Linked DNA regions of Arabidopsis thaliana. The protein of the gene in region 1 interacts with the protein of each later gene in a pairwise test. Each region holds a gene or a part of one and is shown in the gene's direction. Other genes may lie near its edges.

Region 1 (4,076 bases):
TCCTTCATAGTGTCTCATTAAAAATGTTTAGTTGAGAAGATGTGTATTGGCTAACTGAAACCATTTGCTTATGAGACTGACCTTTGCTTAATTTTCTATGTTGTTGCAGAGGTCATAGTTTTTGCAGGTTGGGCTTTAATGCTCGCACTGTGATTATCTGTGATCAGGTACTTTGTTGTTCATTGCTGTATAGGGTTCCTTGCCTCTTAAATCTGCTTCTGGTCTTCACCATTTTTGGTTTTGTTGTTTTCTCCTCAGTGTGAAAAGGAATTCCATGTTGGCTGTTTGAAAGAACGTGACATTGCTGATCTCAAGGTTCTTTGCCTATTTAGCTCTTTCATTCCCTCGGGTGAAAACTCAGTATCTATCTTTCTCATTCTTGTTATGTCTTAACAGGAGCTACCTGAAGAAAAATGGTTCTGTTCCCTCGGGTGCGAAGAGATCAACACTACATTGGGCAATCTGATAGTTCGCGGAGAAGAGAAGCTAAGTAACAATATTCTGAATTTTTTAAGGAAGAAGGAACAACCTAATGAAGAAAACTGTCCAGATTATAAAACCACTCCTGACATAAGATGGAGGGTCCTTAGTGGGAAGTTGACCTCTTCAGATGATACCAAAATATTGCTTGCAAAGGCACTTTCCATTCTTCATGTAAGTCAAGACCACATTTCAAACTCTTCTGTCCTTTCTGCTGTTTGTCCCTTCTAACAATTGTATGCTATAGGAACGGTTTGATCCTATCAGTGAATCTGGGACCAAGGGAGATTTGATACCAGCCATGGTGTATGGGTAAGCAATTTTGTATCTTCAATCAGTCGAGTGGATTATTCTTTGTGCTGATCAACAACTTTTGTGTGTGGAACAGAAGGCAAACAAAGGCCCAAGATTTTAGTGGCATGTACTGCACTATGTTGGCTGTGGAGTAAGATTCTTCTTCTTTTTCACTCTAATTTATTTTCTGTGACGCATGTTTCATCTTTTTAATGTTGTCCTTTTTTTGTTTCTTGTGCAGCGAAGTGATTGTTTCAGTGGGAATCTTTAGGGTTTTTGGGTCAGAACTTGCAGAACTCCCTCTGGTTGCTACCAGCAAAGATTGTCAAGGGCAGGTAAACAGTTTTTATCTGGAACCTTGGATGTTTTTTCTTTACAACAGGTGCCTACTCCTATAGAATGGTTAATAAACGACTCACTCTTACTGTCAATCCCATACATTGATAAATTATACAGTGATACATCTAAGCAGACATGTTTTTGTGTCGAATAGCTTAAGAGCAGAACAATGTGTAGCATCTTAATTGCAGAAGGAATTTTTTTGTGTCAAATTGTACCTGGGGGATGAAATGCTTGTGATTGCTCTTTTTTGAGAGTTTGAGAATTTATGTTTTTTTTTTCCTATTGTAGGGTTACTTCCAATGCCTGTTTGCTTGCATCGAGAGGCTACTTGGGTTCCTAAACGTGAAACATATCGTGCTACCAGCAGCAGATGAAGCCAAATCCATATGGACTGACAAATTTGGTTTCACCAAGATGACCGACGAAGAGGTATATATCTATATCCATATAAACTTATATACACTCCCAATGAATCCCATCTCTGATACACACTGTGTTTGTGTGTTATTAGGTGAAAGAATACAGAAAAGACTACTCGGTGATGATCTTTCATGGAACATCTATGTTGAGAAAGAGTGTACCAGCACCGAGTGCCGTGAGTAAAACTGAGGCCAGTAAGGAGGAGTAAGCTCAAGGTTGTCTTTGTTTTTTGGTTTTTGGAAAGTTGGTGAAACGATTGGATGCTCTTTTTTAATCTAATTTCGGGTAGTAGCCACGTTCTTGTACAGGTTTCTCCCCTAACGTGTCTTTCTTTGTAATGGAAACTAGAGAGAAAGATACACAAAAGGGTTAGAGAATTTGGTTTTGGTAGAGACGAAGTAGAGATAAGAGGGGGAAGTAAATGGGGAAGTCTAAAACATTAGGGCATTCTTTTGGGGGTTTAGTCATGATTATCCGAAGCTAATTTTTTTTTGTATATTAGTGCCCAAAAATGAAATTCAATTTTCTGAAATCTTTTTCTTTTTGTCACTGATGTTTATATATCGAACAAAGGAGGTATACAAAGCCGGCGAGTATACGGACACCTGAACTCTGACTATAAGAGGAAGATACTGATGCCTTTAGAAATGAATCTCTGAACCGGGAATTATACCGGTTTGATTAACGTCGAACCGTAATCAAAATTTTAGGGCTCCACTAAGCGGGAAGGAGCGCCTCTAAGAAATTTGAAACTCAAAAAAATCAAAACACCCGTTGAGAAAATGCCCCTATAAATCCCCATAATTACTTCCTTACCACAATGCCTTTTTAATTCCCTTTCGCTTTCCCTCTTCTCCCCTAAAATTCATTTCGTTTCCGATCGCACTTCTTCTCAAGGTCTGCTTTACTTCCCGATTCTTAGATTAGGGTTCGATTTCTGATTTGTTTAGGTTCTCGTCGTTGTTTAGGGTTTAGATTACTGACAGATTGCTCCATTTCTTTTGTTTAGTAAATTTAATAGACGTTTGTTGGGTGATTTAAGAAGATGGGTCAGATCCAGTACTCCGACAAATATTTCGATGATACTTTCGAATACAGGTGATTCTCAGTTTGATTCTCCTCCCATTTTAATGGAGTTCTCTCTCACGTTTTAGTTTCAGTCTAATCGCGTGGTCTTTTATTTTTCTCTCAGGCACGTTGTACTTCCTCCGGAAGTTGCTAAGCTTTTACCTAAGAATCGTATTCTTTCGGAAGTAAGTTAAAAATTAGGGCTTTCCTCTATTCGCTGTATAACCCTTGAATCATCGTAGGCTAAGAGATTTACATGTTTAAGAAATTAAGTTAGGAAATTGAAGTTTGGACTTTTGAGAGTCGAAGAAATTGAAGTTTCTGCTTAGGAATTTGAAGTTTTGCTTCTCATTAACTTGTTTATTAACTTTAGGTTGTGTAATTGTCAGCAGTGACGAAGATAGTTTAGATATTTTTTTGTGTTATCAGTCAATTCTCAGTTTTCTGATTTTGAAGTTAACAGTTTTCTTGTTTTACAATCTGGTTTTGTAGAGTGAATGGAGAGCCATCGGAGTGCAGCAAAGTCGTGGATGGGTTCATTACGCGATTCATCGTCCTGAGCCACATATCATGCTCTTTAGGAGGCCTCTTAACTACCAGCAGGAGCACCAAGCTCAGATTGCTAAGTAGAAGAATTATGCAAAATTCTCCCTAATCTCTGTTTATGTCTCTCGTAAACGAGGTTTTAAAATACTACTCTGATGTTTTGTTCCTGTAGTTTTTTTTATTGTGTTCATGAATTCTCTTCAGTGGAGAATCATGTGAGTTTGGTAGAACAACTTTTAATGTTATGTTAAGTCTGGTCCTTTGCTAGACTTTGGTTGGATCCACGTTTGAACTTCTTCATGGTTAAGAATGAAGACGTTATTTCTCATGCTTATGTGCTTGTTTCATCATTTCAACCTCTTTTTATTGCTCCTCTTAGAGTCTTAAGTCCATAACTATGAACAACAAACAAGGTATCATTACAATGCCAATCTGAAGGTCTAATCACGATTCTCATGGCGATACTGATTCAAAGAAACTCATATTGTGTCTCAATCACCACATTCACCAAACACCATATATTCCTTACTGTACTACTATTAGTGTATTGAAACCAGGAGATTCAGAGCCATTTTTATAAATTAACTAGATATGTATCTTATACCTAGTGTGAAGCACTGATTGTTGGAATTAAATGAAATTTCGAGAAAATGAACGAGTTCGTAGTTTGATGGTAAATAACAAGGTCTTTGGTCAAAGCAACCAAACAAGTTGTTGAATTTAATTAGAACCAAACCAATCCACCCAATTTCAATTCATTTTGGTAACTAACCGGTTTATAATCATTCATACCCAATCGGCGTCTTCTAAAGAATTTCAAAACTCTAAAAAGTTAATCAAACACCCCTCTATTTCCTCATAATTACATATCTACCCCAAACCACTTTATTCTCCTTTCACTATCTTCCCCAAATTTCAAACGATCA
Region 2 (4,283 bases), 1.9 Mb from region 1:
GTTCTATTCCTAAATCGGTTTGTGATTAGATCGAGTTACGTATGATTCAGTTCAAGCGAATGACATATCTCGATAGAAAAATTTCTTAGTTCAAGCGAGTGACACATCTCGATAGAAAAATATATGAGAAAATTGGAACCTGATAAAAAAATGTATGTGCTTTTAAAATAAGATGGATTACATCAATCTTAATTTAATCAAATAAATATTATTACAATCACACTTGCAAGAAACTGAATATGACGAAACTGTACGTAAATACATATTCAGAAAAAAAAAGTCACCAGGCCAATCATATTTTCAACATGTAATCACATAGACGATGCTATTGTTCCTCTCCGTTAATTATGTACGGAATGTCCAATACCGGGGCTATGACCAGGTTCCGTAGGTCTGAAGGTATCAACCCCGTGGCTCGGCGGCGACTCAAGTGGCTCAGTCGGAGGTGACGACGACAATACAGAGCCACCAGCTCTGATTTCCTCAGACGTCGTTACGGTGAATTTGGTGAGTTTTCGGCCTTCAATTGAACCAACACTAATAGTCAAAAGAAAGATAAATGCAAAAACGTAAACATTAATCGTCGCCATTACTAGAAAAACCGAGACGAGAATTAGAAAAAAAAAGAAGCTAAATTATAATATTTAGTCGAAGGCGAAAATGTATTATGTATTGATGCATGAAACCTCTTGGACCATCTGATGTATTTATAGGGATGAAATTTTACATAACATGGGCGCAACACTTGAGGAGATAAATTAAATATTTAGGGGGTATTATTGGTTTATGATTTTAAAAGAACTTTAACGATTATGTAAAATCGTTTGTTATTCAATCAAGATTTTTAAAAAGTTTATTAAAGTTCTTTGTTATTAATTTAAGATTTATAAAAAGTTTTCTAATATCTTTATAAATCTAGGGTTATAGATTCATACTTTTTTGTAAAGTGAGTAAAAGTTTTATGTTATTCAATTAAAACAAAAGTCGTCTGCATGACCTTCATGTAAATTTCAGTCCCTTCTTTTGATTGAGAAACTAGGGAATTTTTTGGATTGAAAATTGCTTGGTGAGTTAAGGAGATCTAATCTTGATGCTCACTTTATTGCCAAGAGCGTAACAAAAAATGATCGCCGTTAATCGTATGTAGCAACTAGGTTTTCTTTTTGGTTAAAACAACTTTTTGAGGAAGAAAAAAATGCCTAGTGTAATACTGGTTGATCTAGAATGATTGTCCTTGATCCACATTTTTTTGTATGTTTGGTTGGAAATTATGAAGTATATATTTATCTTTCAGTGAAAAAAAAAATATTTTTAATTTTTAAAGCAAGACATGGTAATTTGAATGCACTCGCCACTCCATTTTGTTCATGCTTTGAGACAAAAACAAAACATAGAAAGGCTGACAAGGCCCATGGGAAGTGATGGAGGCCAAGTTTAGTTCTTAGAAACCTTTACTATATTATGACTTATTAAGCCCAATATATCACGATCGACACGTGCTGTTGACAACTTGACATCAGGCTAAGCAAATACGCAGGGATAACAAAAATATAATTTCTAGTGTCAGTTTTACTTTTACCTTATTTTACTCACAGGTACGTAGTTTTTAGGCTATCCGTAACAATCCACCTATACTATACACATAATCTATATATAGTCTCTATCCAATTCATTTTAAAGTAATATGAACTTTCTAATTTTACCTAAACTATAAAATTCATCCCAACTATACAAAAAGCTTGTCAATTATAATTTAAAACATTTTAAACGGTTTCGCGTAATGGCAAATCTGTGAATTACCAATAGATGAGAGGGTTTTTAAAATAGTTAGTTACACCACAATTATTACGCCTCCCGTTCCGTTAAGTCACCGTTTATAACCGACACGTGTCAATAAAACAAACCATCGGCATAAGTAACTCCATAACATCCAAATAACGGCGCCTCCAGTTTCCCCGTTAAAGATTCCCCGTCACTGTAACGGGACCACTAAAACACGCCATTTCTCTATCACACACAGCACAAAACTCAATCCTGACCGTTCAAAACCAAATTCATCATCTTTCTTTCTTCTTCTTCCTCATCCTCTCAATCATATCTCTCTCTCTCACAGAGATTGTGACTTCACGCACACGTAACCTAAATCGAAGATGGTGAGAAAATATAGAAAAGCTAAAGGAATTGTAGAAGCTGGAGTTTCGTCAACGTATATGCAGCTACGGAGCCGGAGAATTGTTTATGTTAGATCGGAAAAATCAAGCTCTGTCTCCGTCGTCGGTGATAATGGAGTTTCGTCGTCTTGTAGTGGAAGCAATGAATATAAGAAGAAAGAATTAATACATCTGGAGGTTATTTAATGTTGTTGATTCTAGATTCTTGTAACTGTATATGTATCATTTAATGTTAATGTATTTTTTTTTGAAATTTTGAAATTTTTGTAGGAGGAAGATAAAGATGGTGACACTGAAACGTCGACGTATCGACGGTGAGTGTTAAAAAAAAAACTGAAAATGATTTGAATTTTGAAGGTTTTATTATTTTCCCGGTTATTTATTTGACTCTCTCTTCAATAAATTTAGAATCTTGCTTGTGAGTTATTTTAGGGGTACGAAGAGGAAGCTTTTTGAAAATCTGAGAGAGGAGGAGAAAGAAGAATTAAGTAAATCCATGGAGAATTATTCATCGGAATTTGAATCGGCGGTTAAAGAATCGTTAGATTGTTGTTGTAGCGGGAGGAAAACGATGGAGGAGACGGTGACGGCGGAGGAGGAGGAGAAGGCGAAATTGATGACGGAGATGCCAACGGAATCGGAAATTGAAGATTTTTTTGTGGAAGCTGAGAAACAACTCAAAGAAAAATTCAAGAAGAAGTAAGTTTTTATTTTATTTTGTGAGTTTGATTTTTATAGATAATATATTTTTTATTCATAATTTAAAATTGATTTTGAGGTAAAATTAAGAGTGAGTTTATTTTTTTTTAATTAGGTACAATTTCGATTTCGAGAAGGAGAAGCCATTAGAAGGACGTTACGAATGGGTAAAGTTAGAGTGAAGAAGAAGAAGAAGTTTATGGTTTTTTTTTTAACTTTTTAGATTTTAATATTTCAGGGAATAAGTTAATTTTATTTTGTTGATTTGGAAATATAAGATTTGTAGGAGGAATGTTTTTAGAAGTACGAAATTGCACAGAAAAAGAAGAAAGCTTTTTAACAGATTTTAGAGCCCAGAAAAGTCGTGTCTTTTAGCTCTACTTTTACCTCTTCTTCGAATCTTGTGTATCTTTTAGCATATTCTTTAGTACATTTTTATGTTTTTGGTGACTGATAAAATTCTATCCCCACACAGGTACAACCACACTCATTTTTTTGTCTTCTCCGTTTTAATAATATTCAACCAAAAACATCAAATGCATTTTGGTAGATTATCTTACCGCCCTAAACGCTTAAAATTATTTTAGAATTTTATTTCTTACAACGTTTGATATGGATTAAAAAGTACTATGAAATTAGTTATTATTGTTCTACTACTTAAATTAACTAATCGACAATTTCAGTGCAGTTTTTTGTTGAACAAAATCGTACCAACCATGTCAGCTAACCACACCAACTAATTTTTTTGTTTCATATTCAGCACCGAATATGATTGAGCTCGACCAATCAGAATTTCAAGATGATTCTGTTATTCTTAAAGTTTATTGATTAATAACAAATCACAAACATTCTATCACACGAAACTTGGTTTGAAACTTTTCAAAATTTTAATTATAATAATACTAGCATATAATAAAACTTTAGATCTGTAAAGGGCATACTGTACTGGCCCAATGGTTAGAGAATTTTGAGATAATGCCATAAATACATTATTCCAAATGATGCAGGACCATTTTGTAACTAGACAAATTATCCGAAGACTTGGAAACAAAACTCTTTCATGGACCATTTCAGAAAATCTTCAAAACAAATGATCATGGACCATTTTGTATATGTAAGCTTAATTCAGATCACAAACAGGTTAAATGAGGGACTCAAATAAACAAAAACAATTCTTTCATCGAGGGCTGTTTTATTTTCGTGATATTGTTAAGGGAAACTTAAAGATATGTTTGGAATGGCCAAGTCAACTAAATTAACTATTTTTTAAGAAGTCAAACTAAACTTTAGGATTTAAATGACATTTGAAAAGTTCATGTTTTTTTCGTCAACAATATGAAAGTTCATGTTTTCTCAACATTTTTTTCTTTAATCAATCTATTAATTTTCACTAAAGAATTGTTGTTTTGAAAA

What was found.
Region 2: the proteins of CKS2 (region 1) and ICK1 interact in a protein complementation assay, tested with the Arabidopsis thaliana proteins (one study listed by BioGRID).

The regions. Positions count from the first base shown.
Region 1 is NC_003071.7:11,911,618-11,915,693, reverse strand, and holds CKS2 (CDK-subunit 2), read left to right. Parts: upstream 1-2,268; 5' UTR 2,269-2,433; intron 2,434-2,545; 5' UTR 2,546-2,581; coding exon 2,582-2,634; intron 2,635-2,728; coding exon 2,729-2,789; intron 2,790-3,096; coding exon 3,097-3,234; 3' UTR 3,235-3,543; downstream 3,544-4,076. Other genes in the region: AT2G27980 (Acyl-CoA N-acyltransferase with RING/FYVE/PHD-type zinc finger domain-containing protein), read left to right, coding at 110-167, 259-315, 397-654, 728-792, 869-925, 1,016-1,109, 1,405-1,545, 1,628-1,744. UniProt on the Arabidopsis thaliana protein: Binds to the catalytic subunit of the cyclin dependent kinases and is essential for their biological function.
Region 2 is NC_003071.7:9,975,789-9,980,071, reverse strand, and holds ICK1 (Cyclin-dependent kinase inhibitor family protein), read left to right. Parts: upstream 1-1,981; 5' UTR 1,982-2,150; coding exon 2,151-2,348; intron 2,349-2,441; coding exon 2,442-2,485; intron 2,486-2,603; coding exon 2,604-2,870; intron 2,871-2,985; coding exon 2,986-3,052; 3' UTR 3,053-3,482; downstream 3,483-4,283. Other genes in the region: AT2G23440 (uncharacterized protein), read right to left, coding at 342-590. UniProt on the Arabidopsis thaliana protein: Binds and inhibits CYCD2-1/CDKA-1 kinase complex activity. Regulates cell division which is crucial for plant growth, development and morphogenesis. Functions in turning cells from a mitotic to an endoreplicating cell cycle mode.